Arabidopsis thaliana: one gene and its partners. The protein of the gene in region 3 interacts with the protein of the main gene of each other region in a pairwise test. Each region holds a gene or a part of one and is shown on either strand. Other genes may lie near its edges.

The links.
Region 1: the proteins of PAR1 (region 3) and HBI1 interact in a two-hybrid assay, tested with the Arabidopsis thaliana proteins (one study listed by BioGRID).
Region 2: the proteins of PAR1 (region 3) and PRE1 interact in a two-hybrid assay, tested with the Arabidopsis thaliana proteins (one study listed by BioGRID).

The regions. Positions count from the first base shown.
Region 1 is NC_003071.7:7,950,170-7,962,284, reverse strand, and holds HBI1 (basic helix-loop-helix (bHLH) DNA-binding superfamily protein), read left to right. Parts: upstream 1-7,545; 5' UTR 7,546-7,838; coding exon 7,839-8,222; intron 8,223-8,300; coding exon 8,301-8,519; intron 8,520-8,597; coding exon 8,598-8,732; intron 8,733-8,821; coding exon 8,822-8,893; intron 8,894-8,968; coding exon 8,969-9,103; intron 9,104-9,194; coding exon 9,195-9,249; coding exon of another isoform or gene 9,250-9,263; exon of another isoform or gene 9,264-9,644; coding exon 9,645-9,739; 3' UTR 9,740-9,881; downstream 9,882-12,115. Other genes in the region: AT2G18320 (F-box associated ubiquitination effector family protein), read right to left, coding at 4,754-4,948, 5,622-5,657, 5,976-6,065. UniProt on the Arabidopsis thaliana protein: Atypical bHLH transcription factor that acts as a positive regulator of cell elongation downstream of multiple external and endogenous signals by direct binding to the promoters and activation of the two expansin genes EXPA1 and EXPA8, encoding cell wall loosening enzymes.
Region 2 is NC_003076.8:15,951,742-15,962,891, reverse strand, and holds PRE1 (basic helix-loop-helix (bHLH) DNA-binding family protein), read right to left. Parts: upstream 5,525-11,150; 5' UTR 5,204-5,524; coding exon 5,078-5,203; intron 4,742-5,077; coding exon 4,589-4,741; 3' UTR 4,333-4,588; downstream 1-4,332. UniProt on the Arabidopsis thaliana protein: Atypical and probable non DNA-binding bHLH transcription factor that integrates multiple signaling pathways to regulate cell elongation and plant development.
Region 3 is NC_003071.7:17,833,653-17,844,593, forward strand, and holds PAR1 (phy rapidly regulated 1), read right to left. Parts: upstream 3,967-10,941; 5' UTR 3,536-3,966; coding exon 3,179-3,535; 3' UTR 2,764-3,178; downstream 1-2,763. Other genes in the region: AT2G42860 (uncharacterized protein), read left to right, coding at 207-785, 900-995; AT2G42865 (uncharacterized protein), read right to left, coding at 1,619-1,786, 1,862-1,942; MPK20 (MAP kinase 20), read right to left, coding at 6,920-7,356, 7,441-7,583, 7,814-7,915, 7,996-8,207, 8,355-8,510, 8,608-8,757, 8,837-8,896, 9,021-9,148 and 2 more. UniProt on the Arabidopsis thaliana protein: Atypical bHLH transcription factor that acts as a negative regulator of a variety of shade avoidance syndrome (SAS) responses, including seedling elongation and photosynthetic pigment accumulation.

The DNA of each region.
Region 1 (12,115 bases), 9.9 Mb from region 3:
ATCACAAGTCCAAAAATTATTTTTATATTAATAAAATAATTAAAATGAACTTGATCAGCTCAATGATGTTTTTGATACCAGTATCATGTGACGTGATATCCTCTGATTGGTCGCATTTACCAAAAAGGAAAAAAAAAAAATCTATTAAACAAATATTATAAATAATATTAAATTATTTTTAATGATATTTTATAATTATCACTTATAACCATGTTCTAAGCATTGTAATATCATATTTCTGTATGAGTTTGACACATAATCGATTGAAAACATATAACGACAAAAAAACACGAAAACAAATACTAATTATTTTGAGAAACCGTGTCCATGTGAAATCTCACATTGTCATTAAGACTCGCAATGTTCGGATACTCAGATCTCCTTGCCACCTCTGAGGTCATGTCTTGCTCGCTTATGATTCAAAATCATTGTCGTCGATAATGACCATCATTCATTGGTTTTGGTTCATGCATTCGCAGACCATATAACCTCATACTTTAAGTATGTTATTTCACGTACACATGTAGCGGTATAGGAAACTTACCTTGCGATCCTCGACTTGAACAGGCGCTTATGGCCTTGTCCTTTGAACGGATGTTTAACACATTTGATTCAACAAATCAAACGGAAGAGTGTATATTAATAACGATTCTTTCAATGATTTTATTCTTCAATCAACTGTTATCACTTATCATATGAGTGATTTTCTCCGTTATATGTTAACTAGATTTTAACCCGCGGTATACCGCAGAACGATTTATTTTTTAAAGGTAATATATTAAAACTTGCAAGTTTTATTTTTATAAAATATTTATATTTTACAGTTTATAATTGTTATTAAGTAACGCTATACCACGAATCCATGAGACAATTGTTAAAAAGCTGAAGTTTTAACCCTTATTAAAACAGCATATTAATAATACTTTAAAATTTTATAAATATTGATTCAAATACATCTACCATATAACCCAATTCCAAAATAAAACTCGTTCTGTAATTTCTTTACCCGTCCCGTATTTTTTTATAAAGTAGTAATTTTTAAAATTTAAGAATTATTTATTATATATAAAAGCTTTACAAATTGTATCATTATCTAATACATTTATATTTTATAGTTTAATTTTATATATAGTAACATTATACATATCAGTATACTACATAACATTTTTGGTTTTATATAATCTTTTCTAAATTAGGATGATTTGATATGTTTCATATTACTGGTCTTAAAAAATAATAAATTAAAGATTTAACCCGTATTGAAACGGTGGAGTAATTATATTTTATTTTTTTATTAATGTTGATTCAAAAACCCGTCCCTCCAAATCCGTCTTGCCAAAAAGCCATTTATTTTATTAATATTAATTTTATTTATGATATGACTATATTTATAATCTAAACATTTTAGCTAATAACATAGGAGTGCACCATATTTATTTAATAGAAGAATGTACCATATGACCCGAATACACTTATACCCAATTCCACCAAAAAGTCTTGCAAAAATACTATAGAGATAAGAAACGATAGTCGGTTTTGATAGGTATAAGATTAGCAAATATATTAGTTAGCTTAAATTACTTAAGTTTATCATGATTAAGTGCTTTCTGGGTCGTCTCATACCTTATAAATTCGTCCTTAATCTCAACATGTAAAGGGGCTTGAATCGGTATTTTGTTTAGGGAGAAACCCTACTAAGGAAAGGATGTCCGACACCTCTTTCTTCATTTATCATCAGAATGGAATGGAATGAAAGCCAAGCATCTACTAGCTGCCTAGCCAGTAAGGGGGAACGCTCCTGCTTAGTACAACCAGAAAGAAAGAATGCAGAGTAAGGCCGGGAATAGGCTTCGTAAGAGGACTGTTTGAGGTACTTTGGAAGGACAGTTACACCCATGCCAGCGGAAGACTTAGGATAAGCGGTCACTACCATCTTATTACTATGGGCTAAGCAGATACTATCACCTTAATAGCAGCAAAGAGCCATAATTGAATCACGAGGCTTTAGCTCCGAGGAAGTTTAGAACAAATTGAATTAGAATTGACGTAGCGAACCAAGCCTCTGCCATTTCAGAATCTCCTTGTAGAAATTGTAATATAGTATAAAAACTTATATAACACAGAGATTTGATAATTTTTTAATTGTTGAATACTTTTTTTGTGCTAATTTTTATGTGATTAAGATTTAATTAATTTTATATATTAAATATTAAATTGTTTTACGAACTTATTTGTTTATAATTTGGTAACAGATATATATTTGAATATTCGGTATATTTTGCTTCAGTTTAGGAAATCTTTGATGACCCGTCTTTAGATCCAATAAACTTTATAATTAAGAAATGAATATTATAGTTAAATGATTTTGGTAATCTTAATGACGTCATTAAAGGATTTTGTTTTTGATTAAATTTTTCTAATGGCATTGTCATGTAATTAATTACAAAAATTAAGGTTATATTTAAAATGTACTTCCCAGTGGACATCTATTTTATGGGATGGAGCTATAGAATCTAGAGTTCTTTTTTTTTGCTGTAGACATTCATTTGTAAAAGTAAACGTACATGCATATAACAACAAATATATGCGTCTAATAAATGAAATAAAGGTCCACATGACATAATAACATGCTACAAAATAAAGTTCACATCTCTCATAACATTTAAATGAAAGATAAAATTAAAACTAACAAAAAAAACTACATTACTATTTTCTTAATTCAATTGTGTCATCTACCTAATTCACTCATTAAATTTTGTTTTGTGATCAACATTTTACTATGATCCACCTCGTCATGTGCTACTCGTATTGGGTATTCGTTGTTGTTCTATAGCCTATATGGACCAAACTTCGCTGCTAAAGTAAGGTTTTCTTATTTTATTTGATCAGATTCCAACTTTACATGATCCCTTTGAAAAGTTCCACAGTCGATGTTGTTAAGATGCTCCCTCGTACTCACATGCCCACGTAAATTATAAAACATTTAATTATATGGAATCTTGATTTTTTTTTTTTCAAATTTAATATTATTTGTCAGGGTTCGAGTTTTCCCAATTTCAACTATCTATGACCATCCGTAAACGTTTTCACTGACCTGAAATTTTTATAGATTTTGGAAGATTATATAGTAAGACTTTGGATAGTCCTCGGTTAACAAAAATAATAAAAAAAAATGAATCTTTTAATTTGAAGATAATGAAAATTGTTTAGAAACAGTGGTTACTATGATTTCACCTTTTAAAGAAACGAAAAAAACGAATTTTATTCACTTTTTCATAAAATAAGAATTAAAATTTTAAAATATATATAAAGTAATAACTTTGTTAAAAACTTCATTTTAATTGTACAATTTATTGATCAAAACATTTAAATCTAGTGGTTCAGATTGGTATGTTCATTGTATCATCATCCAAAATTCAAACCCGCATAATGTTATCTTCATGGTTTTTTTTGTTTTTAGTAGATAGCATATATCCAAGAGTTTTATGTAGATTTTTGGTTATCGAATTTTCGACAGCAAAATTTAATATATAATTTTTAGTTAAATTTCATAGAGCATTGGCTTAGCCATCATGAGAAAACAATCTGTAAGATAACTATTTGAACAATTTAGCCTTTTTAATGTCGACTTAAAAACCCCTTAGGAATCAAACACATGCATGTTTACTGGTGGTGGCGCTATGAAACTAGTTGTGGGAGTGTGGCAACAATAAGTTCTTCAACTTTTTCTTGCAAAGGAATTTGCATTAGTTATTTACCATATCTGGTCCAGATCATAATTATTCTAAGCTTTTGAATACTTTTTATTTTAAGATATAAACTAATTCAATTTGTCTCGTAATCGAATCAGAAGCACAAGGATTCGTCCGGATAGAAGGGTATTTTATTTGGTGCCTATTTTTTTGATTAAAAATAAGTAAATGTTGATATTGAGGTTTGTAGTATAGTGTTTATATATATTTATAGACTATAGTGTTTCAATTCTATATATTTATTAATACAATTTAATTTTTTAGTCCTCGTTGAAGTTGGGAAATTATGAATGAAAGAAGGATTGTCCAAATAAATAAAACTGGATTTCGACTTGGTCACTTGGAATATTGGATATATGACATGCAATACAATGTCGTCATAGAAGGAACTTGTGACCATTTATTATTATTTTGTTACATTTGTTTCACACGCACTGTTGATTACACTAGGCTTGACTTCATATGTTTGCATTGGATGTAAGGCCCAACATCGAAGCTTGTTTGTAGTCGACAGTTACTTCCTCTACTTTGAAAATTAATGTAAGCGCAACATTGACTTCATATGTTTGCATTGGATATAAGGCCCAACATTGGATGCTACACTTTGAGGTATTACTATGAGTACTAGAACTTTGAATCTGTTCATCATGCCGATTGCTTTCATTTCAAAATTCGAACATATCACCTTGTCTCCAACTCAAGCTCAAAAGAAAATAATACAAGAGTTTTCAAAATACTACTTATGACCAAAATTAATATTATATTAGTCTTGTTTAAAGGACATTGCAAAAGAAAAGGAAAAAAAAACGAATGAAAGTTGAGCTTTTTTTATTTTCTTTCTTTCTAATTCAAAGAAGAGTTATAAGTTATTAATAAATTGTAACTCTTGTTGTTTCCTTTTTGACTAATAGTGTAGTGTTAGACCTTGTTGTTAACTTGGTTCGCTTTCACTTCTTCTCTTTCCTAATTTTGCTCTTCCTCTTCCTTGATTTTCACTAAACTTAGCTTGGAACATAAGAGCTGGAGCACACAATTGGGCAAGAAAATGTTCTAACTTCTCCAAGATCCAATTTTTTCAAGCATATATTCTCTCCAATGATGTAAGCATATTTGTAGGCTTGAGATTCATCTAACTCAAAAACCACGAAGACTTTCTTCTCTTCATCAATGAAGAAACCGCAAGTCTCTTCATAAAACTGAAAATCAAGAACAGTGAGTGGTTCTATATCAACTTTTAAGAAGGGGGTCCACAACACCACTTAGGGCTCAATCTTAGTTATAATCCAAATCTCTATCACAGGGATTGATATAACACCGAGAGTTTCTCTTCTTTAACGCAAGATAGAGTTTCATTATTGTTATCATCCTCATGATGCTGAAATGGCAGAGGAAGAACCTGTCCAAATCTCTCTGCTGTAAAATCAAAACATATTAAGAAATATGGGGTTTGAAATGGATCACACCCTTTCATTCTTTCTTGAGTCCAATAGTAAGTATTTCCGGTTATTAATACTTAACCCAAACCAGAGAAGTGTTTGGATTGTGGGTTAACCGGTCGAACTGGAGGGTCCGAATTGGACGTGAAAACACTGAAAAAAAAGTAATCTATTTGTGTATCAGACTGTTACACATAACAAAAAAACATATAAGCTTTTGTTACTGGCATCGATATTGTTATTACAACGGTTCTGTTTGATATTATCAGTAAACAAATTAGAAAACTTTTTATCAAAAAGAAACAACTTAATATTGTTAGACAGATACATCTTAGATGTGAGAAACCTTAAGAATTATATCATGACTTGTATTTTTTAGGAAAAAAATCATTAATGCAGCCAATGTTATAAAGTTGATTCAATTTGGTCCAACTATGTAGATTGAAAGTAATGACTTTGTGCTATATTGCTACATGTATAATATTAACATAACTAGCTAACTTTTTCACAATGGAAAACTTATAAGAACTTAAATCCAAAAAAAAAAAAAAATCGCTCGTTTTGCAGTTCTTATGAATGTGATTGAAATTTGGAAGTGGGTAAACTTATAACTTTAATAGTATTACAACAGTGAATGGAGAAGGACACTATTAGGGACAATGTTCCACATCGGAAGTTAAGTAGGATCTTAAGTGGTATATATAAGATAGCGGCCTCTCCACCTATTGCCAATTGGTTTTAGGTTGGAAGCCCACACTCTAATATGGTATCAGAGCCCGATCCGCACATACTCAACCCGATCCACATCGGTCCGGCCCAATACTTGGCCCGCCGATCCATGCCCAAACATATCGAGATCAATGGCTAGAAGAGCCATCATCTCGAGGGGGCGTATTAGGGACAATGTCCCACATCGGAAGTTAAGTAGGATCTTAAGTGGTATATATAAGATATGGGTCTCTCCACCTATTGCCAATTGGTTTTAGGTTGGAAGCCCACACTCTAGTAGACAGAAGAATATGATCAAACACTCTGATCAAAAGCAATGGTCTCCTACCTTCCAATCACTTATCTTCAAACCCATTGTTTTCTTTATATATTTTAAATATATTTTGATGTCGCTTTTAATTATTAACATGTCATGTTATAGATTAATTTCTAAAATATTCAATGGTTGGTGGTATACTGTTCTTTGTTGTCTTGCTGTATTATCTATCTACTCATGGATTTTCGTTTGATTCTTTTATGGAAAACCCAAGATGACAAGATCTTTTGCATGATCTTGTCTTGTGTCTTTATTTCAAACTAACTGAATATAGTTAGTTATATATTATTGTTATCAATAAGCTGGAGTAGCTCAGTTGGTTAGAGCGTGTGGCTGTTAACCACAAGGTCAGAGGTTCGACCCCTCTCTCTAGCGATGTTTTCTTCTTTTCAGTTTTTTTTTTTTTTGTACTGATACAATTACAATTTACAACACAAAATACAAACTATTAGACTACATGTCAATAATGTCATGATGCAAATTTTGCGGTCAAACTTTTTTTAATATAAGTTTTGTTACATGGATTCAATGTAGTTTGTTTGGGTTTTACTTTGTAAGTAAGTTTTATAGAAACAATCAATTTTCTGAATTTTAGTTTGGATTGAATTCAATTAATTTGACTATTCCAAATGTCAATATATGTTAAGGTCTCACTCATTGTTTATTTTTTCCTTGTAAAGCTCCTCTCATAAACTTGAAAGGGCAAAAAAGAAGAAGAAAAAAAAGAAAACATAACACACACAAAGAAGGGATAAAGAACCTCTAAATTTAGTGTTCATAAGGACATGCCCACATGGTGTGGGTTATGTCACTTAGACCCTACACCTTCTCCTCTCACCTTCTTTGCTCCCAACCTTTTCTTTTATCAATTTATGTCCCTCTCTCTCTTAGATACCGAATCTTTACTACTATTTTCCGCAATTTGTTCTTGAGCCTCTTTTTTCTCCTAGTCATAGTCAAGTGTCTCTAAACGATGGACCCGATTTATCCACCAACGCTAACGTTTAATCTATCTCACTGTCATTTGTGACTATCACATAGCTACAGTACGACCATTTTCGTAAACTTATCATAAAAGATCGGTCTCAAATCCGATACAAATGTTATGTTGAACATCTACGTAAAATAGAAAACTATTGTTATTGCTATATATTTTTTAAGGGATACGTATAAAAAAGTTGTGGCGTATAAAAAACGTGTGGTACCATTTTGAATTGGTAAGAGAGTATTTATTTCTAGAGAGGTAAGAGATAACAAATAAGTAAATGAAATTTCTACATTTATAAAGGAAAATAAAATAAAAACATAAGAAGTAGGGGACCTTATGTGTGTGGGTCAATGTTGTTTTCTATTTAAAGCTAAGAAGAATGATTTCAATGGATTAGTTTCTCCCAACTCTTTCATCTTTTTTAAGCAACCACCCAAAAACAATATTACATAACCTAAATCTCTACTTCTTCATACATTTATAGCAAATCCTCTTTTGCTTTAAACCCACCAAATAACTCAGAGCTTTTTTGCATTTTTTCCCATTCTCTATTTTGTTTTGTACTTTTGGTCTCACTTTAAAAGATCATAAGTTGAAAGATTTCTGCAGAGAACAATATGTTGGAAGGTCTTGTCTCTCAAGAAAGCTTGTCCTTAAACTCTATGGACATGTCTGTACTTGAAAGGCTTAAATGGGTACAACAGCAACAACAGCAACTGCAACAAGTTGTGTCCCATAGCAGTAATAATTCACCTGAACTTCTTCAGATACTTCAGTTCCATGGAAGCAACAATGATGAGTTGTTGGAGAGTAGTTTCAGCCAATTTCAAATGCTTGGATCTGGTTTTGGACCAAACTATAACATGGGTTTTGGTCCTCCACATGAATCCATTTCAAGAACAAGTAGCTGCCATATGGAACCTGTGGATACAATGGAGGTTTTGTTGAAGACCGGTGAAGAAACCAGAGCCGTTGCCTTGAAGAACAAGAGAAAACCAGAGGTTTGTAAGATCAAAATTTTGGATAAAAACTTTGTTTTGAGACATGGTTTTTGATATTTTTTATTAATAATGTCTTAGGTTAAGACAAGGGAAGAGCAAAAGACAGAGAAGAAGATCAAAGTAGAGGCTGAGACAGAGTCAAGCATGAAAGGAAAATCAAACATGGGAAACACTGAAGCATCTTCAGACACTTCAAAGGAGACATCGAAAGGAGCTTCAGAGAATCAGAAATTAGATTATATCCACGTGAGAGCTCGTCGAGGCCAAGCCACTGACAGACACAGCTTAGCAGAAAGGGTAATAAAAATAAATAAGTTTCTTGTGATACAAGAATCATGATATATCTAGGGTTTCTGAATGGATTTGGATTTGCAGGCGAGAAGAGAAAAGATCAGCAAGAAAATGAAATATCTGCAAGATATTGTGCCTGGATGCAATAAGGTCACAGGAAAAGCTGGTATGCTTGATGAGATCATCAATTATGTTCAATGTCTCCAAAGACAAGTCGAGGTAAGCAATGAAACCATGATTCTCTGTAACTTAACTTCACTATTAACCAAAGAGAATAAGTCTAATTCTTAAAGAGCCATACTTTGCAGTTCCTGTCGATGAAACTTGCTGTCTTGAACCCGGAACTAGAGCTTGCCGTGGAAGATGTATCCGTAAAACAGGTGAAAACACATTGTCTAGACCCTCAAAGTCATATTGATATTGCTCAACAAACTTAAGGGTTATGAAATTTTCAGTTTCAGGCTTACTTTACAAATGTAGTTGCTTCAAAGCAATCAATAATGGTTGATGTGCCATTGTTTCCGTTAGACCAGCAAGGATCTCTAGATTTGTCTGCGATAAACCCGAACCAAACGACATCTATCGAAGCTGTAAGTACAGCTTTATATGAAACTGAAAAACTTGTCAGAGTTTTTGTTCCTTGTCAGTGAAGTAACCTGTCTCTGTATCTCTCTATTTCAGCCATCTGGAAGCTGGGAAACTCAATCACAGAGTCTCTACAACACATCTAGCCTCGGTTTTCATTACTAAGCAAGATTCATTGAAACAACATGGTTGACATCAATCAATCATCAAAATCAGAAGCAAATTCTATTACATTTGCTCATCAAAGTAGTAATTTCGAAATTTGGTTAATGCATTATCCTTTGATCCTTGTTTTCTGATATTTAAACCAGAAGAACTGGAGATAGCAATCCAATGATCTTGTCACCATCAATCTTTGTGTATAGATTATATAGAGAGATAGATAAATATGTTTTAGAGGAGTTATAGATATATATCATATTTGTAGAAGAAAGAGAGAAAACTCTTGTGGTAATTACAATTCTTGTTTGTTTTTTTGGATATATAAATATCTAAGAAAATTATAAATCGTTTTCCTGTTTTTTTTTTCTGCAACGAATATCTAAGAAAACTCTTGTGGTAATTACAATAAAATATCTAAGATTCTATTGTCAACGAAATGTACCCATCAATATGTTCCCATTCGAAGGGTATGGGTATAGAGTTATTAGGTCGCCATGATTTTTTATAAATCGGTGGAAGAATACTTTTGATGATCAAAGTAAACGGTATCTAGGCAGCCAATTAATCAATGTCGATTTTATCTTCACATAAAATTTTATTCATTGAATACAAATTATTTTCTAGCTATTTAATTTATGTAAAATTAAATCGATCATAAGAAAAAAAACTAATAGCTTAAACAGATGTTGTCTTTAGTTATTTTGATACAAGATTGCATTGTATTCTTTAAAAATTCATAACCAACATCATGGCGTTGAATTTGGATGTTGAATCCGAATGATGACTCTCAATGCACATTTAGATGAAAAGAAAAGAAAAAAATTTCGTTTGGAAACAGCTCATCGACTATTCACAGATTCGGGAGAGGTTATTCATTTATTCTTCTATTTTCTTGCTAAAGATTAACCATATATTCGAGTAGGATTCTTGTAAAAAGCAAACATCATCAAATGTGAAGTATGTGTCAAATAAAATTTTGTCAAATAAAACATCATCGAGTAGGATTCTTCTATTTCTATTTTTTTTTTGGATATTAGTTAGTGTCAAATAAATTTTTGTTAATTTAAAAACTACACTAGTAAACATTTTTATAACAAATAAGAAAATTGGATTCTCGAGTGATGGCAAATTCATGAATTCTTTATGAAATTGGTGAACATATATAAAATCGGACGTTGTTTTAAATTTGTTTCATTTTTAATTCAAAGAATGATATTTTAGACGTTTGATCATTGTTGTCTTGTTGATGCTACGATTGCATTCAAACTCTAGTTTTCATTACATTCAAAATATATCTAATTTTGCATTCGGATGCACCTACATATATAATTTTACAAAGCCAACAACATTCGTGCATCTATATGAAGAAACCAAAGATCCCTTAAGTTTCTAGCTTATTATTTTCTTTTCCAACTTTATCAATGCACTACAAAATCTACTACACTATGCTACTATAGTGATATGTATAATGTTACTGATGCTGACACAAGCTCTCTATATATTTATCACAATATGTTTTCTAAAAGTAGCTTTCAAGCTACCAAGTGGGTCAATGTTCTTTTCTCATATCAATTTTTCCAACCAATGATCTATTCATGAACTGTCTGATTTTGACAAGATCTATATGATAAGATATTATCCATAACCAAAAATGAAATTGGAAGTAGTTTTTTGAAGGTAGGAGTAGTTAAGAGATTTGAGAGGATCGAAGAATGAAGAATCTGAACCACAAAGAGTGGGCATCATTGTGGTTGCAGAGATTTTTAACCAAAGTGGACCTTCTTTTGTTCTTTCGGTTCCATTGAATTTTATCTTCCTTCATTTTTGAAGTAGTTGAAAATCTCTTCTATATTATTTTCAAAAAAATTCGAAAAGAAACAAAATTAGAGAGGTGTCGTTATCAAAAATAATGAAAGTCTTTGTTATTTCTGAAGTTAAACCATATATACAAAAAACAAATATAGTTTTAATATCTAAATATAAATTCATTCACTTAATTATAATTTTTAATCTCTTTTTTTTTTGTCTACTCATATTAATTAGAATTCAAAAGATTCATTCATGAAAAATATTGTTTACATATGTGATATGATGCGGTTCGGTACAAACTTTTCGTGCCATTATCCTATAATTATTAACTATATAGTGTATAATTGTATATGTAATCTTAAATTTCTTAAACACTTACATGATACATTATATTTATGTCTTTTATATATTAACAAGAGAGTTAAAGAGATTTTCAAATAAATTATATGTTTAAAAGTTTTAGAAGACTCATGGTTGTAAAACTCATGGTTGTTTAGTAGTTAAAAGACTTATCCAAGTATTGCTCAATTTCAATAGTTAGTCACGATAAAGCTCTTACGGTTTATAAAAAAAAAGTCGTATTTAGTCTAGATTTATGTCGGAACCCGTAGATTGATTTTTCCTTTTTATCTGGAAATATAAGAGCTAATTTTTTTTTGAGATTATAACATATTATTTAGTGATGTGTGTTAATGTAGTCGTTATGTCACTATCCGAATTCAATTATGATATATGTATTTGTGTTAGTGTAGTCGTTAACTCGTTATGTCACTCGTTAATTTGATTGTATGAACCTTCCAAAAAATCTTAGTTAAATTTATAGTGATGTTGAACATCACAATCTTATCATGGTTTTCATGGAATTGAATCGTTAATGACTTGTGTAGGTGAAACTATTCTAATTCCAAGTGTTTGTCACTTTTATTCAGAAAGTAAAGTAATTGCCGTTTCTGTTTTAACAAAACAAGTATCAGGCCGTTCCAAGCGTTCACTAACGACACGACGTTTGTTTATGAACCAAAAAGACGAATTTTTCAAAACCTCGT
Region 2 (11,150 bases), on a different chromosome or scaffold from region 3:
ACTCCGGTGGAAAGTCCAAAGCCAACAAAACGTTTTTAAGAAATGACCACTGAACAGAATCAAAAGCCTTCGAAATGTCGATTTTAATAGCACATCGACCCGAAATTGTGTCCTTGTGATAGTCCTTTACTAACTCTGTGGCTAATAGCAGATTCTCAATTAGGAGCCGGTCTTTTACAAATGCAGATTGGTTTCCCGCGATGAAATTCGGGAGAACATGTTTCAATCTATTTGCAATGATTTTTGAGATGACTTTATAAATGACGTTGCAGCACGATATCGGTCGATAGTCTTTCATTTCTTTCGCCTCCAGTTTCTTTGGGATGAGAGCTAGAATGGTAGTATTAACACCCTTTGGTAGAAAACCCTTTTCAAAAAATGATTTGACTGCCAAAACAAATTCTGCACCAATTATATCCCATGCCTGCTTGTAGAATTCAGAAGTGTAACCGTCCGGACCCGGAGATTTATCATTTGGCATTGAGAATAAGGCTCCCCTTATCTCTTCTGCTGAAACTGTTGCAGTGAGCATATCCTTTTCCGCTGTGGAACAACGATAAGGCAATAGAGATGTTAATTTCTCCACTGCTATTCCCTCATAATCATTCGGGATTAGCTGAAGAAATTCTCGAAAAAACCTTTCAGCCTCGTTCTTGATATCATCTTTAGTTGTGGCAGTACTACCATCTTCCTTCTGAATTTCGCGAATAGAGTTTTGAGCTGCTCTAGCGGTTGCTGCGCGATGGAAAGTTTTATTGTTTTTATCCCCAACCTTTAACCAATGAAACTTTGATACCTGCTTAAGATACTTCTCTTCAATGCTAGCTATCCTGTCCCAACGATCATAAGCTTCCGATTCTATTTCCATAGCTCTTTGAGATGGATTTTGTGAATTACTCTGTTGCGCCTGACAAAGACTGAGATAGGTTTCTCTCGTCCTTTTCACCAAATTGCCCATTTTTTCCTTCGCCAAGCCTCGAAGTTTTGGTTTAAGAGCCTTGAGCTTCTTAGTGAACCGGAACAGGGACGACGTGGACATGTGTATAGGCTCTGTTTCTGTCCAAAAATTTTCCACCAAAGGTTTAAACTCCTCCATATCGGCCACAGCATTCACAAACTTAAAAGGCTTATTTCCTCTCACTTGTGCACCAGAGTTCATATTTAAAATTGATACGACACCGTAAATGGTCAGAACACCCTCCCGCTTCAAAAACATTATAAGATTGTGGGTAGACCATCTTCCAAGCCTCATTCACCATAACTCTATCCAGTTTTTTCCAAATTGGGTCATTATCTCTCTTATTGCACCAAGTAAAAAGGGCCCGTGAGATGCCAAGTCTGAGAATGAGCAGTAGTTCACCAAAGACTGAAAATCTCGCATACCGGAGGTAACTGCTGGGTGATCTTCCATTCGAGAGTGCTCATCCATATCCAAAATTTCATTAAAATCTCCAAAAATTATCCATGGTTTATCACGAATGATCGGAGAGTCCATATGATCGGTGAGATGATTTTAATATATGAGTACTTGGAAAACTCAGCCTCGATAAGTATATATTCGGTTAGTGCCTCACAGTTTAAGTAGTTGTATTAAGAGTTATTGAAAAGAAACTAATGTGATTTTGGTTGTGACATTTTCTTAGACAAAAACCAAAGCTCTAAGCTAAACTGGGAGAAGAGGGTCCAAATAATTAATGGAATCTCTCGGGGACTTTTATATCTTCACCAAGATTCGCGGCGTCCTATTGTCCATAGAGACCTAAAACCGAGCAACGTCTTACTTGACCAAGATATGGTTCCGAAGATATCAGATTTTGGGATGAGTAAACTCTTCGACAAGCGTGCGACAGCAGCTAACACAACAAAGATCGTCGGAACTTAGTAAGCAAACAAACTATCATCGTTACATTTGAAAATAAAGCAAACACTTTACAAAACCTCACAATTGTGTTTCTTGTTGCTTGACAAAGCGGCTATATGTCTCCGGAATACGCGGAGGAAGGGATTTATTCAACAAAGTCAGATGTTTTCAGCTTCGGAGTCTTGCTTCTTGAGATTATATTTGGGGTTAAAAACAGAGACTTTTATAGATACTCGGAGAACGACGAAAGTCTTATTACATATGTAAGTGTAATAATCATCCAAAGCATTTTCGTCTTTTTTTTATATTTTTTATTGTGATTGATATAAACGCTTAAAGCTTTGTTTATGATGAATAGATATGGAGGAATTGGAAGGAAGGTAAAGGGCTCGAAATCATAGATCAAATTATCCTTGATTCATCAACATTTCAACAACACCAAGTTAAAAGATACATACAGATTGGTCTCTTGTGTGTTCAAGAATGTGCTGAGGATAGGCCCACGATGCTATCAATCTCTGTCATGTTCGCAAGCGACACAATAGAGATCGCTCCGCCTGGACCGCCTGGTTATTTAGTCCGTAAAAGTCAACTTGAGACTGGTTCCTCCTCGTCACGAAAGAAGCGAAACGAAGAATCTTGGACTGTGGCAGAAGTAACCTATTCGGCCATTGGACCTCGGTAGTCCAACGACGTGTTTCGCAAGGAACTTTATTTATGGGAGAAAGATTCTAAAAGTTGTTTCCCCGTGTAGGAAGTATCTTGGAAATTGATTAAAAAAAAAAAAACATAACAGAGTACTGTAATTTGTATTTTATATTGTTTTAGCCTGTTTTACTATAAAGAAAACATAACTTAATGACGTTTACACTAACTTAGCTAAAACCTCCATAACCAAAGCTTCACTCTCTAAGCTTCTTGAGTCTTTGGTTGAAATAATCAACAAATCTCCACCTCGACAAACGGTTACATCTAATATTCATTTACCTGCTTCTGATGTCATTACACAACTTTGTCCTTACACAATATGTCAGTAGGATTGACCAGAGAGTACCAATCTTGGTCATATCCCTTATGAAGTGTAGCTCAACTTCTATATGTTCCCGTTTCATATTTTTAGACAAACATATATAGCTCTTGGACTGTCACAGTTCACTTCATATTTTGATTGCAAAGAACCAATTATTATAGCAATCTTTTTATCCAAATTGTTTCCTTGATGCTCTCTGTAAGAGTCATATTCATATATATACTCTGCTTTTGTGGTGGATAAGGACAACGTGTTGCAAGCATCATCTCCAATTTTCAAGATACAAAAGATTGCTGTTAAAACAGAGAAATAGAAAACAGAGTGTTTGATAAGTTTGTGTGAAACTTGTGTCGCTGTGGAGTTTGGGGAGAGATCACCTTGGAAAGACTTCTCCAAGAAGAATTCATACATGATTAAAGGGAAGTAAAATGAGTTTACTTGTTAACCTTAGTTCATGTTCTTAGATACAGATGTATTTGAATTTACTGTAGAAATTCTAAGTATATCTTTTACTTCTTGAAGTGATCTAATAAACTTTTGTTGCAGCCGAGGACTAGTGGTTGGTTTGAAAGAGAACCAACCGATACCTTGTTAAATATTGTGTCGTTTCGTTATTGCTCTATTGTTTAAATCGTTTCCGCTATTTAATTATTCTATTTAGTATATCTCAAAATTTTACAATAATAATTCAAAAAGGGTACAAGACCTGAAAATTGTATCTATGTAACAAGAAAAAAAAATTAAGATCGTTTTAGGTGGAAGAGTGTAACAAAGCTAGTCTCTGAATGCTCTCCTTTTTCATGTAATTCTTCTTGTGATTATTTTTATAGCTATATGGCTTAAAATTAGGAGTCGGATTTGACCAGTCTCCTAAACCCTGAAAGGACCAAACCGGTATAGCTATATGGCTTAAAATTAGGAGTGATAGATTTGACCAGTCTCCTACGCCTTGAAAGGACCAAACTTGTCTAAATGTATGTACATGGGTGCATGTATATCAATATGCGTATACGTGTGTTTAAACTTTAAACTACATGCATGTAGAATTATGAGATATCAAATAAAACTATAACGTTGATTTTTATTTAATTTCTTTGTGTGGACGTCCTAAAAGGCAAAACTTTCCTTTAGATGTGTATAAACGTTTTTGTGACAGTTAAGATGGGGTTTCTTTTCCCCTCCAAAATGGCTAAGAGTTTATTTGATTTTGTCTTCTATTTCTATTTTTGCTTTTTATCTCTATTTTGAGGTTTAGATGATTTGTTACCTCAAAAACAATGTGCCAAATAACTTTTTTTATTCCGTATAAAATTAAATGCTCGCAACTAACAATGTCCTCTCGCAATTTTACTGTCCTTGACTGACACAATCGAGTTCAGACATCACAATCTCTGTTTTTTTTTTCTTTGTTAGGGAGAAAAAAAGAAAGATTCTTCTCCACCAAATTTCATCCCACTGGTTTATTTTAATAATGCACCTGCTAAGGCAATGCTCGTGCAGTTCTGCTACACACATATATGTCGGAGACTTTTGACTATGGAATTAACCCTATGAAATTCGTATGTCATTAAAGATCAAGCCCATCTCTTTGAATTTTACATAATAAGACGATTATGTTAAAAATATAATTATTATAGAGCGATCATTTAAGATTACATGGATAGGCTTGTCAAAAACAAACAAAAGAACAAAAAAGATTACATGAGTAGGCTTCTAATAACGGCGGCTTCAGGGCTATCTTCATCGACAGATTCGAGAAGCTGAGACAAACGCTCGCTCAGATTGTCAACTTCTCTGTTCAAATTTCGTATGTAATTGCATGTCTCTTGCAATACTTTCGAGGCTGATGCCTTCAACAACAAAAACGAAATAAAATCATAATCATTATAATATATGTTTTTTGAACCAATGCATGCGCTTTTATGCGTTTGCAGATGCATGCAAGCTGATGATTTTGATGTAATCTCTTATGTAAATATGGAAGAAAAAGGTTGTGAATATTGGTATATATGTTCCTTAATGTCCGGAGTCAAAAGTTCCGACTTCTTTTTTCTTTCTTGTTTGATTTTAGTGTCCACTCTTCTTTTTACAAAACTTTTGTTCTTTCCTTTTTTGGATAGGTTTACACGATGGATAATGTTAAATGGTCGTTATAAATGAATATATGCATATATTATGCGTGATACCTTATCAGAACGACGTCGTTGACCAATCTCCGGCAAAATTTGACGGAGCTTAGATACGAGGTCAATCATTTGATTATCGGAGATCCTTGGAGCACTTGAAGATTGCCTTGATCTTCTGTTCGACATGTTCAACAATGTGGCAAGAAAAGACCCTAACTAAGTTGTGGATTCTTCTCTCTTTCTTTACTTCTCTCACACTAGCTCAAACAAGTTCTATTGAGAAATAGAAATAGAGATATAATGAGATCGGCTATGTCTATGTGGCAAGTAGGTGTAAGCTTTTATGATTTTATAAGGTTTTTATGCTGAAAGGAAACGACCAAGAAGAAAGAAAAACTAGAGAGCAAGAAGAAAATAGAGAAGAGAATGAGAAAAGTGTTTTGGGGTTTTGAATACACTTCAAATATAAAGAAATTGAGAATGTGATAAGAGAGATTTAAATAGGCCAATGGACCACAAGAGAGAGAGAGCGACGGAGAGCAGCAATAAACCTCGACAATGATGTCACGGGAGAAGAAAGCGATAGATTGAATGCCCTTAAACCACAAAACTTCGAAATCATTTTTTATTACAGATTTCCAAGCCGTATATATACATATCATCAGTCGAGACTATTACCAATCATTATACGAAGGTAATGGCGGGATTGAATTATTTCACAACGTTTTCAATCATGGTTAGTTAGTTATTGTGTATAGTTCAAATGATACACAAGTTTCAAGATTCGTAACTTTTTAGGATTTTGTGGAAAATAAGTCTTGAAATCGTCCATTTCTACTTTCAGAAAATATAGAATAATTTTACAAAGTGAAAAATACTACGCAATATAACATTTTTTGCTATTGTCAGATTTCGTCAAGTTTTAAAAAAATTGAGAAGTATTATATCAAATCGAAGCCCTCGAGACAAAGAGTTCAACTCTTCTTTAATTTAGATTTTTTAAAATGTATGTGATCGTGAATACGTTTACAATATATGTATAAGGAATATATTGCGTATTATTTTTGTTTTTTTATGATTATTCTGCATATTTTAGAAGTAGAGGGTAAAATTACAAAAATAGATTTCTCTTAGGATTTGTTTTACCAAAACCCCAACTTTTTATGCCTCAACTATCCAAAAAAAAAGAAAATGATTATGACTAGAATGGATCACAAATATACATATGCTTAGTTATTGAAAATTTTACAGTATAATTCCTATAGAGTGGATAAATAAATGGGTACTAAATTTTTTGAATAATTGGAGGAGATTTGAATAGTTAAATGGAGGAAACGAAAAGTTCCCAAAGATGGGGTTGATGAAGGTCAAGATAAGTGTTTCATGTTCATCTAACATTGTGGCCCTTCATCTGCAATTTCACAAAAAGGCAACTACCATGTGATGACATGACTTTTCATTCAATTTTTTTTCTTCTAATATTAGAACTAGTATTATCGCCTAAATTGTCTCTCTAAATTTGTATTCCACAATATCTAGGTACAGTTTGTATATTTATCTGTAAATCTTGTATATTACCAAACTATATATTTTAAACTTGTATAAAATATATAGTTCCAAACTTGTATAAAAAAGCATAGAGAGAATTATGTAAATTCTATCTTCCATACTAACTACATTTGTTTTAGAAAGGAAGAAGCCTAATTATTGACTCCTATGGAACATTGTTTTCTAACTGCTAAGCCATAAATAGTTTCACCTCATATGTAAAATATTTCGTGTGATAACTTTTAAAAAATTATAGAATGTCAATGTAACTTAAAAATAGTAGATATAAAACAAATATTTTCTATAAAAGGATTATTGTTGATTTTGCCGTTTTCATCAAAATCTTTTGAAAAAGTCATTTTTACTAAAATTTTACGAAATTGTCATTTTAGTACTTATAAATGTACGTATTTACGATATTATTTTTACAAAAATAAGTATTTTATATTAAATGCTAAACTTAAAAAACAAAAAAAAAACTCGACTAAACCTTAATATAACGAATAAAAGCTATGCTAAATTTCATTTTTTAGACTGAAAAAGAGCAAAATCCACAAATTATTTAAAAAATGACAAAATCCATAAATATCATTCAAAAAATGGTAAATCCATAATTAATTCTTTTATAAAACGTGAAAAGGAAACCAAATGCTTAAAAGAAACGTATCTATCGGCTTTAAAACTTCGTTCAGACCATTTATTTCAAACTTCTTCGCACACTTACACTTTGCCTAAAATAATTTATTTAAAGAATTTTTTTATTTTGAAGTGAATAAAATCGCATGTCTCATATAACTTAATTTAATTGTTCGATTGGTCCATTATTGGTTGAGTATTAATTTATATAAATGTTCACAAAACATCGACTATGTCACGTGTCACCACCATGTCTCGTGTTACATGCTGCCCTCGGGTCCATAAGATCAAAATTTTAGATATCTTGTTGTCCAATAACATTATCAATAAAGATCCGACAAGTATGTAACAGTCGAATACAATTATCTGTTTGAACATATTATTATTATTATGAAAGGTTATATAAATTTCGAAATCCCTCATTATCCCTCAAAATATTTCGTTTGTGTGGTGTATTAATTTATCACAACATTCTATTTCATTAGTAATTCAATAACAGTTTAATATATTCTCACCAACAAGAAAATATAAGTGAGAATGGTTCTCTTCCGACAGGTTTGCATGACATGGATCGGATTATATTCATAGTTAACGAAATCAATGTTACGTTACGTTACTTATTAAAAGTACTTTTTGCTCAATATATACTAAATATATAAGAAAATTATTTTCTCCATCGTTGTGCTTGTTATATAGCCAAACATTTCATTACTCTAACCGATATCATCCGACATGAAATTCACACTTATAATTCAAGAGAATGACAACAGTATAGTAAGTACACCATATATATGTCAATGATCTATCCACCACAAAAATTCAACGAGAACATTAATTCATACAATTTTTTAATAAAGCACATAATTAAAGAAAACATTTATCAATTTTTCTTATATGTGTGAATACAAGAATATATATAAAAGTGTGTTGGTGTGTGTGTGTGTGTTTTATATATACAAGATTATTAAAGAAAGTGACCATTCTAATAAATTGCAAAGGGAGATTTTACATGTTAGTCCATGTGGGTTCGGGTACTAAATGTTTGGTCTCATAGGCTCCACAATGTTTTTGTGTCTACTTTTTCGCAATTAATTCACATCTTTACAAACATGTTGTAAAAAACACGAGTAATCATGTGGAAATGAAGGACTCGTTAAATAAGTAATTTATAAAAACTCACTTTGGAAAAGTTGAGCAATTTTTTTTTTTTCCAATGAATTACAAAAACACTATAGTACGATAATATGCATTAATGGCACCAATCATATCTTCGCAGTGAATAAAATAACAATTAAAAAAAAACATTGAAAAAGTCGTCAAAACGGCATCTTCGATTCTATGTTCAAAGATTTGAATTATTCAATTATATTTATAAATATTTGATCAGGTCGAAATATACAACACACATAAGATGTCCAACAATTATATTTATAACTGCGAAATGTTTCTCTGGATTTAGCATGAGTATTCGAATTACGCTGGAAATGTCGAACAAATTCCACGGATAACATGTCCCTTGATAAGAATTGTTTCGCCATCATATATTCACATAATCACATCACAAACAAAGCATCGACAGATTGTGTAGTGTGTGTGCACACACGTAAAACGGTAGACTTTTGCCGTGTTACTACAATGGCAATTAAGAAGATACTGATACATCTATGTAATTCTATCTATTTACAGTAAGTATCATTAAGAAAGTACATTAAATTTAATTCCATATTTTCTAAATTCAAATTGAAGACTCTAGGTAAATAGGGATTCTTGTCTAAAATGCCGTTTAAAAAAAAAATCTAACAATAATATTTTGAATAGTTTACGAATTCTGCCATTTTTTAACACTTAAGTGTACATATTACGAATTGTTTTTGCAAAAATATGTCTTTTATATAAATTAAAATGATTAAATCCAAACGAGTAAAACGCATCTTAAATCACATTTTTGTTGTCTTAAAATATACAAAATCTACAAACTATTCAAAAAATGGCAAAACCAACAATTAAGTTAAATTAAATACTTTACAATTAAGTTAAGGATCATTTTTACGGAGTGACTCCAATTTATTAAAAGAAAATACTTCAATGGTAATAAAGTTTTTTTATTTTGATATATTTATCTAGTTAAGAAAAAAATCATTTTTACTGAGTGACTCTAATTTATTAAAAGAAAAGACTTCAATAGTAAATAAATTTTTTACTTTGGTATATTTATCTAGTTAAAAAAAGGAATTTAAATGATATATCTACACGAAGATCTGGATTTTTCACTCGTATATTTTTCAATAGTAGGTATCAACTCTTAATAATAAGGAATACGTAACACATTATGGTCCAGGTATAGACCAATATATATTTCATGGTCCCCTTTAACCATTTTTCTCTCATAATTATTACACAATCATGCTTTGCATAGGCTTCTCCAAAACAATGAGCCTCATGCTCATCAACAGCAAAAAAGCTTTACTATCTAACTAAATCTATTCATTATATTGTTTTAGTCTTACCTTAGATCGGGAATTACATCACTCTACAAATGTGGTGGGGAAAATTACGTATGTTGTTTACATAATCTGATAATCATAAATAAGAAAAGGATATCTTATTTGAAATCGTTTAAGAGGGGGTATTGGACGCATGAGTTTGATAGAATTTAATAGAATCATAAATTCTGGTGTTATTCAAGTAGAGATTTTACAAATTCTTTTAAACTCTTGTGTTATTAAACTTACTCATTTCTTAATTCTATTAATTGCAATTGTTATTCAAGTTTATGTTGAAATTGTATGCCATCGTTACTTGACAGGAATTTAATAGAAAATTTAGTTTAAAATGTGAAGAACAAATTCTCTGGTTTTGAGTTGAGATTTTGATAGAATATTTCAACACATCCAAAATTCATCGTCTACTTTTCTCCTTCATATGCTTTTCTCAAATCTGAGGGAGAGTGTTATTAATCTAACACATCTACAATTTGTGATCTCATGATCCGGCTAATTGCTCGTCAGATCATCATCCATTAGATTATATTGAGGGGGAGAGTGTGTAAATCGAGAGAGAGAGAGAGACAAAGAGGAAATAAATGGTGGTGATGACATTGTCGTTGGTGTTAAAATAGGGATCTCTTCCATAAGTTTGATAGAATTCCATAAATGTCAACGTAGGTCATTTCTGGGTAGAAGAGATGTTGGTCGTTTCTGGGATTTTTAGGGTTTGGACATGGTGGGTGATAGAGAGCAACGTAGAACAATAATTCTATAGTAATTCATTGATATCTTTTTAATTCTAGGAAAATACTGCAAAATAAATTGTTAGAATTGAAAAGAAAGATTTGAAAATCTTTTACAATACTTGAAAATCTATAATTTATGTCTTCAATTCTATTCTATTAAATTCTCTCATCCAATACCTCCCCCTTAGACTTTATATAAAAGATGTTTCTTCGTCTTAGAAAAATACTTGGGTTAGGGTGAACCTTTTAATTTACCCTCTTTTATTCAAGCCAATCACAATCTGTTATATAATTAAAAAAAAAAAATTTGATTATAAAATATAAGTTGTTAATAAATCGAAATTATATAATAATTTGGGTTTATAAGAAATGGGTAAGGTTTAGATTTTATGATTAGACGAGGTTAAATATCAGTTTGGATTTATAAACGGATTTAAATTTTACAATTAAACGAGGTTAAATATCAGTTTGAATTTATAAATAGATTTAGATTTATAAGTAAACGAGGTTAAATATCAGTTAAGTTTAGAAAGTATAGTTAAAGTTTAGGTTTTACAATTAAACGAGCTTGAATGTCGGTTTAAGTTTACAAATGAGAATTAAAGTTTAGATTTTATATTAAATAAAATTATATATCGATTTGAATTTAAAGAATATTGATTAGGATTTAATTTTTATTAGGTGGTATACTTTGATGGACTAAAATAAAAACGTGAA
Region 3 (10,941 bases):
GATTTACTTTTTCTCTTCGTTATCTTTCTTGTTTGGTTTTAGTCTGTCTTTGGTATTGCAATCGACATTGCAACTAATATATGAAGCAATCTTCTAGATATATTGAGTCCATGAACTGAGACCTCTTTAAACCGGCAAAAGATCCATACCGTAGCAGATCGAAGTAGAACGAAAGATAGAGAAAGCGGACACATACCAGAACAGGGATGGAAAAGGTAGGTGAAGATGAGGAGAAGACCATTGAAGAAGCAAACAACTCAACTGAGGAGACGAAGAGTGATAAAGAGGAGGAAAGGATAAAAGGTACTATTGCTGATCAGGTTGATCCAGTAGATTCCACTGAAGAAGGTTCTACGGGTCCATCCAACTCACACACTGTAGTCTCCAAAGATCATGATTTTAGTGAATCTGATATGGAGGACGAAGAGCAGGTTCTCGAGTTTTTCAGACGTAATCACGGTTTTTCACCTGAGGTCACCAAGAGAAACAACTTCCCATATGTTAACAACTCTGAAAGGATGGTACTTCAGTTCCAAGAAGACACTTCTGCAGAAACAGAACAAACAAATGAAATGTTCCACAGTTTGAATGATAGCAACGAGATTCTTGAAGGAACCAAGTCATCATCAGCTTCAGATGAGGATACCGAGGACTCATCTAGTAACTCAGACCTTGATTCCAGCCTTTCCAGGTATTATTTTGACGGATCCTTACCGGTTTCAGCTCATGTCGAAGAATTTGAAACTCATCAAGATGAATCCCTTGTACCTAAAGATGAAAACCAGGTTTGTAATCCAAATTGGTGGGGTATGATATAACGTTCTCCATACGCAACAATTCAGTTACAGCTTTAGCTCTTATCATTTGTTAACTAAGACAATATCCGTTAAATGTTTCAGATGCCTCTGCTGTGTCTCAAGCAACCCATGCTGCAACCAACTTCATGGAGAAATTGCTGTGGACTCCTCGAGCTTCTCTGGGCTGCTGATCCATAAATTTCAGATACGAGGAAAATCGACCTCCAATGAATGGATTTTAGCAGTAAGTAAGGATATAGACGTGACATGTTGTTCTAGTAACCAACACAAAATGGTTTATAGTAGTAAGTAGCTCATATTCACTTTCTCTTTAGGATCTATGTAATGAACCACTGTCAAGCAAACTTTTAGAAAAATGTTTCTCTTTGTAATTTAGTTAACAGGAGACTACAGACCATTTGAAAAGAAAAGCAACTACACATCTTTAGCCTAAAAGCGAGGATAACCAATTACCTTAAACAAACAAAAACAACCAAAAACATCACAAAGTCGAAACCAAAGCCAAGCAAAATCTTGGGCACCTATATGACTGTGAAACTGCAAAACGTTATGGTCTTCAGCTAATCCTATGCTCCATATTATCGAATCACATTCGTTTTGAATAGCATCCGAACAATGTCGCTGCCACTAACCAGCAGCAACCACTGCCACTGTAATTCTCCTTCCAAGTAAATCTTTCCATAACCATCGCAAGCAACATCCTTTGTAGCTCTGACTCCATTAGTAGGCTCCAAGATCCTCTCGTTCAACAAAGCTAGCGTTTTCTTAGCTTCTTCAACCTTCTTCAATTTCTTCTCCATTCACTCAAAGCTTCCTCTCAGACTTGCAATTCCCCTAAACCTCTTCTCAATATCACTTCTCACTTTCGTCAAACTCTCTACTTCCTTCTCATAACTCTCAAAGCTATCACCTTTCTCCATTAACCATTTCTTCAATTCAGCCACCTCTGTCACCGTCTCATCTCGCCGCTCAACGCAGTGATAAGATCATCCTGAATACTCACTCTCAAGCTCCACAGCTCCCGTCGATATAGATTCTAAAACCTTCTTCTCTTCTTCTATTTGCTTCATCTCAATCTCCATCTCTCCACACCTCTGCTTCATCTCCACTTCCAGACTTCTCATCTCCTCAATCTCTCTCAGTAATCTCACCCTCCTCCTTCAATTCCAGATTATCCCGTGTCAATTCTTGCTTCTTCTTCTCCAATTCCTTGAAATAGAATTCTATTTCAATTCACCAGAAAAAAATGATTTAGGGTTTTAAGTTTTAACTTTTAGTGAAGAAGTCGTTCCGAGGGTAGTTGACACTTGACAATATTGCCGCGAATCCTTTTTTGTACGGACCTCTTAGTGTTTAATGGGTTCAGGCCCAGTTATGTTAAGCCCAATTATAACATAACTAAGGCAATCAAAAAACATGTGGAATCGTAATCTTTTAGGCTTTTAGCCCATACAGGATGTGATTAGTTATAATCTATCAATGGTTTTTATTTTAAATTTTGGTTTGGTAAAGGATGTTGAAGTTAACATTATTGATTACAACTTCGTACTATACGATGTTCAACCTTAAATTCATCTTTGTAATGTAATTTGGATAGAGAGTAGATAGGGTTGGTAAGAAAATTATATCTTCCCCGACTTTCCGCTATGTGTGGAGTAAATAGTTCCATAGAGTTCGATATAGCTGCATTGTTGTGGGTCAGAAATTACGTTATAATGAATACTAAAACTGATATTGTTTTTTTTCTAGCGGCAAATGTGTTTAAATTTCTGTGTAGATGCTAGCTCTAGTACTTACACGACTAAAAAGATTTGTCTTGTATATGTATGTACAAGGAATATACATGAACTCTATTGTTGGACCACGGGAACTCAAATCTAGTAAGTTCATCATAAGCTTAAATAAATATCGACCGACTTTGGAAATCTTTGTTATAATAAAGCATGTGAAATGAGCTCATCCAGATTTAAAAATGGGCCACGTAACATTAACTTTCTCAATATCATTAATGTCAAATCTCATATGCAAGTGAAACCTCGTGATCCAATTTAATATCTATACTATATGGCGTCCTACTAAAATAAGTTATATAACTACATTAATTAATGCTAATTTTCGTTAATGAACACTTCTCATAACCGTGAAACGGCTTAATAAATAAATCAGAACATTAAAATTAAAGATTATACTCCTACTAAAGAAAAAAAAAATTCGAAGAAAAAAATGTTGAGTCTCTTTCCTCATATATCAAAGCTAAAATCCCATGTTATAAAAAAGGAAATAAAAGATTTGAAAAAAAAAAACGTTTTTTTTTGTTTTTAGGAATCGAAGAAAGAAGAGCAGTCTTGGTGTGATAATCTTCAACCTCCGAACTTCATGTCTTCTTGATCTATGCGTTGAAGAAACGAAGTAAGGACTTTAATGGTTTTGATCTGACATTGTAGAGACAGAATGTAACCAGCTGTCTCTTCGAAGAGCGCGTCCACACCAAGCGCCGCTCCTCCGGGGATAATCCTCTGCAACGCCTCAATCTTTTCCTTGACCTCATCTTCTTCTTCTTCTGCTTCTTCTCGGTCTTCACGTACGCTTGCGTTAGTCTCTGACAATCTCCGTTTGGTTCTGCGCTCGAAACCAGCGGCGCGTGATTTCACGGTGGCTGAGCATGACGGTGACAGAGAGCGTCTCGTGGCGTCGGGAGTGGCTAGAGTTTCTTCCATTGAAAGAAAGAGAGAGATGAATGATGAGTCTGAGAGAATAATGAACAAGTAAGGAATGTGGATATGTGTAACTGTGTGTGTTATATATATATATATGAGTGATGATGGATTTAGTAGACAAAAATGTTGAAATGTGGTCGGTTCAACCTGATTTTATTTTGGTTTGTTGCGAGTTTAGAGACAATACTCTATCGGTTTGATTTGGTTTGCTATGCTTTATGTTACATTGTTTGCTTACATTAGTGAAAGGTTCGGTTATGAACGAATTTTGGTTTGGTTTGTCTATAAAAAACGATGTAAAAATTGAAACGATATAAAATAAATTCTACATTTAGAAATTGGGAAATGGTTAAATGAGCGGTATTGCCATCAAAGCTGGGTCCAGTTGTGCGTTATTTTTAATTTTATTATCCTCGTGTTTCGGATTGTGGAGATTTATTTAATTATCTCTTACTTTGGTTGCTTCCACAGATTTGGATCTTTAGAAGAAGAGCTTTCACGCGCCATGTCGACTGGTTTAGACTTTAGTGGACTCATCACTCACTTAAGTGGATCAACCTCGCATCTAGATTGGATTTTTTTGTTTGTTTGATAAATGAGATTTGGCACGTTAAATTTGTTTGTTTAAGAGCTAGACGTTTGACATAGTAATTAACTAATTATACAACAATGCTTTATTATTGTATTAGGATATGCGTTGTTAATACAAGCCGGATTACTTTTAGCAAGTGTCTCATTTATTTATCAAGCCGGATTACTTGCTAAAATATTATTCGAACTTTAATTTAAACTCTAAATGGTTTGTGATCTGGTTTAGCCATAAATGTAATAGCTGCTATACGTTGTTTTGCATAGTTACCAGTCTTATTTTCTACAACAAGAATAAAGAGTATAAACTATTTTATGTGAGCTTAAATTTCCAAAAGAAAAATTCAAGTAGACGACGACAAACCCTATAGTTATGCACTTATGCTTATAGGCCATTCGGGTGGTGCCTGGTAATGGACTAATGCCTGATGGTATAAGAGTAAGTTTTGTCGTAATTACGTAGTACGGACGAAATGAAAACGACCACGCGCGTGGAGATAAGGAAGGAAAAGAAGAAGGATACAGTGAGACACTACTTGCATGGGAACAAGGAAGAGAGAGGAGAGGACATGTGCGGGTCACATGAATATCTCCATCTTCAAAGCCCCATTCCCATGTGCTTCCTCCTCTCTATACATTATGTACAGACTGTAATATAGTATTATTATTAGATGGATGAGATCAAATAGATCCTCTAAGAGATAGTGAACTTGTTCGTACAATTGAGGACCTAATCCTACTAAGATCCACATGATATCTATCGGGCATGGTGGCCACGTGTCAACCCTTTTTTGGGTCCCCCCCACCTCAGTGACCTCCTAAATCTGTCCTTCATTTTTTTTTTGTCAACTCCTTTTTCTTATTAAAAGAAACTCCAATTAACATCCCATATTTCTTACCACGTAAAAACAACAATCTCAATATATCTATAATGTTAGAGAAATGGCCACTATATAACAAGAAGAAAGCCAAGGAAGTTTAGTGTTATTGGATTCGAATATAGTGTTACATGTTTCTAGCTAGAGATCTTTATAATATACATCTTTTATACATAAAACCGTTATAGTAAATCTTACTTAATGTTGGTTCCATAAATGAGCCCTCCGGTGCATTTCTTTTGTCAACTATATGATATAAAAACTAGATAAAGACTTAATAAAAAATAATTGCATTAAAAAAAAACAATTGCATTTTTGTAGGTCTTTAATCCAAGATTGCAAATTAACCTAAATCTACTCAAGAAAAAAAATTTAGTAAAGAATAATGATTGACATCTAATTAAAAGAAATAATGTATGGTCTTAATTAAGACAAAGATCAGGAACAGAATAACACATTTCTTTTACGTCTAGGGTTTTTAGTAATACTAAAAATTGTTAAGATGTTGTTTTAGAAGAAGAAGAAGATGGAAGAGAGAAATAAAGAAAGAGATGATGTTTCCAAAGAGGGGACGAAGGAGGGTTTGGTTTCTCGGGATTGAGATTTACAAAAATCGGGTGCCTTTCGCATTTCACCATCTACCAAACTGACACTCTCCCCAATTCTAGTATCTATTTATTTATGTATTTGCACTTACATTAAATATGTTACAAAAATAACACACTCGAAATTTAATTTTAGCTTTTAGCCAGCTTTCACATTCGTCGTCTTGGAATAATCAATTCTATGTCCTTTTGTATCTTGTTCGTTGTTTCTATTTTTTCCAAAATAACTTTTATTTAATGACGAAAACCTAAATATTTATATCTAGGAGGAGTTTGAGATGATTCCCTTTCACTATTTATTTTTGTTGCCACAAAAATAAAAGAGAAGAGTTTGGTTAAAGACAAGACAGTATATGTTTTTTTAAGAATTAAGAAAGGGGAAGATTAAGAAAGAAAATATGTAATGTTTAGCTAAAAAACTCCAAATCAAGGGAAGTTAATTAGTTATCTTCTCTTTTTTTCTATAAAGGCTGGAGATATGGGCCACACAGGTGGACCTACCATGATGGGTGATCTCTGGGACAATGCATACAGTGGTTTTTGGGTCCACCTCTAACCTTATTTGTCTCCTCTCTTGGCCTCATTTAGTTGCATTTTTTTCAATTGTACATGCATTTTCACTTGCTATATCTCTCTTTTGCTTTAAAACTTATTTTATTAAAAACTTTATAATCAGAAAGAAGAAGAAAGATCCCAAATTTTTTTATTTTTATTTTAATTAAAATAGAAGTGAATAAATAATCTTTAAATGATTTTTTCTAATTTTATTTTGATATTTCTATTTTGAGATACTATTTATTGAACAGCAATCTCTCATTGTGCTCATTTATTAATTTGTAGAAGAAATAACTTGTTTAGGAAGAAAGTAAGCGAACTCAACTGTTTACACAAAAATATATACACAAATTGGTTGGTTTAAAGATATGATCAAGTGACAATGCACCTTTCTGTTTCTACTGACATTTGGAAGAACAAAGTGGTGCCTGTGATATGGGTTCCCACCACCACATGCGTTTGGATGTGCCATGAAACCATCATCATCATCACCATGCGCATCCACACTGATCCATCTTCTGTAGCCAGCGGTTCTTTTAAACGTGAAAAACTCTCAACCTTTCTTGTTATATATACCAGAATCTAACATCCATTTATTTATTTGTCGGAATAGAAAAAACAAACAAATGATGGATCACAATTAATAAAAAAAATATTTTTTGCTCATATGGTTTTGTGTCATAGACAATTTTCTTTTATGACATGAAGATGGAAACATACAATGTTCTGTGTGATGAAAGCCCAGCTTAGGTGGAGAACTAGTACATCTTTGACATACCGTACCGAACAGCTCCAACTTTCCGGTGAGCAGAACCACCAGGAGCAGCTGCTGCAGCTGCCGCTGCGACTCCTATTCCGGCAGTTGCCTGTAACAGATTTGTGTCGATTATGATCCGGTCACTGATGTTTTCGGCTTTGTTCATTCCCGTTCTAGCCATGATAAACGGGTTGTTGTCTATGTTGATGGCTACATCTGGTGCATATCTATTATACTGAGATATTTGTCTTGCCTGCTTCTCAGGCTCCATAGTTGTTCTTCTCTCTTGCTGCTTTCCCATGGCGACTGTTGCAGCAGATTGTTGTGAAAAGGGGAGATTAGTGCTCCGGATGAATGATCTCGGGTCATATGCATCTCTGCTGATTCTGCCATTGTCGAAAGGTGCAACCGGGCCCATGAATGTGCTTGGTTTGGCTGCTGCGTGTAGATAGATGTTTTACAGTTTATAGAGGTCAGTTTGGACACATTGCTGTTGGATTCAGGATGAGTGATTAAAAGTACCTGAGAGGTTTCTTTGTTGTGCTTGTATTGTTGCATGATTAAAAGGAATGTTTTGAGTAGTTTCAGGGTTCAATGTGTTTGTGTTATTCATAAGTTTTGGTTGTCCTCCTCGTGCTACTGCGGTTGAGTGTATGACCGTTGATCTGAAAGCATGCAAACACAGAGTCAGAAGGACATATTTTTATAGAAATTAGTGTTCAACACAAGAAACAGATAGTCACGGTCTTATGATTCCATCTTTTTTATCCTTGCCATGTCAATGTATATTAATATACAACTAGTATAGCAGTTGCATAACGGGGGTCAAAAACAGAGGAGATCACCGAAACCAGATCAAGTGACAACAGACTTTACAGAAAAAATGAGGATATACCTGGGAAGAGAGGCATGTTTCCTTTCTAGAGGTGCCACAGGGCCGGTTTTACCACTGTTTTCTTCAAGATGCGCAAATTGTCTTCTAAATTGATCAACAGCACTGCACAGTATACATCAATGTCAGGGACTGGGTGTGATATGCAATGCTAGCTCAAGAATGTAATCAACAAAAATTACGACCTTGGGTAGAGAAAACTGGCTTTATCAGCCCCGTTCATATGATCTTTAAGCAGCTGAGGGTGGTACTCAAGTATCTCCCTAGAAATTAGCTCTCTTATATCCTCTTTAGTGACCTTTCTTCTCTCGAACTCAAATTCCATCTTCGTGATGGGTTGACATGAAGGCTCCCTTTCCACTTTTGCCAATCCCTTAAAATATGGATCAGCAAGTGCCTGATTCAAGTATACAAGAGTAGTTTAGTGATTCACTCCAATAGAAACCCCAAATGCATGATACTCTATTATTAGAGAGAGAAAACAATCAGGAAGCCGAGAATTCAAGATTTGAGATAGTTAGTCAATATGGAAGTTGAAAAGCACCTCTTCAGCAGTTGGCCGGTCTTTTGGATCAAAAGCAAGAAGCCTCTCCAACAACTTCAGAGACAAAGGATCTGCATTTGGGAATTTCTGTGCAAACGGAATGGGTGGCTTTTTCCTCATGCTTGTTAAGTACCTCCTTGCCTTCTCATTCCTCACCTGTATAACATCATAAAAGCAGGGTACTCATCACTACTGGTCCTTGCTTAAGATGTGTAGAAACTCAATGGACTTCGTTTAGCAAGAAGATCAATACCCGTGAGATGGTGTCCAGGGAAGGTGTCCCTAGCAGATCAGTCATAAGATCCAGCTGGTGAACCACATTCTTTCCAGGGAAAAGTGGTTTACCCATCAACACCTCCGCAAAAATGCAGCCTATACTCCAGATGTCAATTGCGGGTGTATACTACAAAGCCAAATCCATCAAAAGTTATATCGCGGCAACACACCAATTAAAAGATGTTATATAGAGAACAAATGAACACCTTAGAGTAAAAAGATCCACAAAGCTCTGGAGCTCTATACCATCTGGTAGCAACATAGTCCTGTAAATTCAGTAGAAAATAATGTAGAAGAGTATCAGGTCCTGCAACGTAGTGAATAATATTTAGACCAACTTCAGTTTAAGAGAAGGAAAAGACTCTTAGAGAGCCATCTTGTCAAACGTACAGTCCAGAAGATTGTTGTGGGGGTATCATTGAATGCAACCCTTGCCAATCCAAAATCACAAATCTTAAGTTTACAGTTTGCATTTGCCAATATGTTCTTTGGTTTCAGGTCTCGGTGGTAGACATTAGCTGCAACAACCAAGATTCATAAGATAATATAATACAACAAACCAAACTCGACAGCTGAGTTAAAGTTCAGATATATTGGGGCAAACTTCAAAAGGCAAACATTTAGCCAGACAATGGAAACCGCAAGAATCCAATTCAGTGCATCAATGTATGAGATAGTACTGTAGAATGTAAAGTCCTAAAAGACAAATCTGACATACACTACATTTTGCAAGTGTCCAAGATTTTCATCTACAGAGAGAGCGATATATACACACAGAGAGATTTGAAGATGAAAAGACTATTGCTAGATGCCGGATAAAGAGAGACCAAAAGAAAAAGACTACCTGTGTGAATGTACTTCAGTGCACGCAATAACTGATACAGGAAAAACTGGTAATGCTCTCTAGTCAAATCATCATTGGCTTTAATAACTTGATGAAGATCCGATTCCATGAGCTCAAAGACAACATAAATATCTTTGAATTCTCTTCGTGAAGGAGGAAGCATAATGTGCTTAATTTCAACTATATCTGGATGCCTTAGGAGTCTAAGAAGTTTAATCTCACGTAGAATCCTCGCAGCATCAGAAATATGCTCAAAAATATCATGAATTTTCTTTATCGCGACTTTCTCACCCGTAAGAGTGTCTATAGCTGAGCAAACAACTCCATAACTGCCTTTTCCAATAACTTCTTGAACTTTAAATCTATTGGCATCGCCATAGTCAGAAAAGAACTCCATCTCCAGATTATTCTGTTACAAATACCATTACTTCCAAGTCAGAAACATTACAATAGAGATAACACTATACAAGAATCAGATGCAGAAGGTTCTCTACTGATGCTACAAAGGACGCCTAATGAAGGATCAATGCAATTGAATGTCAATTTGCTGATGAAGAAATAAAAAAAATGTCTCAACAACACATCATCTTGTCTTGAATGATGACAATTATGCGTTGTTTGTTTGATGACACTTGTAACGTTCATTGATCATAAACAGAGTTGTCCAAAACGGCAAAAAGATTAAAGACAGTAACAGGAAACAAACAAGATTAACCGAAACACACACATAAATATCTCAGACAGAACAGATAGTATCGGATGGAATAATTGGAAAAAAGGAAGAGTTTTTGTTTCACCTTTTTGCGATTATCTTGCTGCATCGTGACTCAATTGAAACACAGACTAAAAACCCAGGAATTAGAAGAACCCTAGAATTCGATCTGAATTGGGGGGAGGGAAATAGAAATTCAGATCAGCCGCATTGGCCCCATCGACCACTACTCCAAATGGCGAAGCTAGAATCCGACCTGGTTCTGCTCCGGCAATCGATCACCGACAGAGACAGAATCGCAGGCGAATTTCTCATTCACCTCTCTAATTCACCCAATTACCCCCAACGAAATCGAAACAACAACAAACAATCGCAGTTCAAGATAAATCGAGGAATTGAAGATAGCAGAGTGCGAACAGCATTGCTTTAGACGCACGTTTTCGTCGGCACGAGATCTGATCACCGACACACAAGGGATACAGAGAGAGAGAGAGAGAGAGAGAGAGAGAGACGAAGAAGTAGTGAAAATGAAAGGAGAGAGAGAGATAAGGAAGGAATCTAGACGGAGATTTATATATAGAGGTTAAAGTGTCGCGTTTGGTAAGCTGCTTTGGTCACTGTGATCCAAAAAAACAACCCATTAGTAAAACGAAAAAATAAATTATTTGATCAAGTGTTAATAAATTAATTAGGACATTATTGATCTGGTCATTATTAGTGTATGATCTATTTTTGATCTTTATTGCCATTCATTC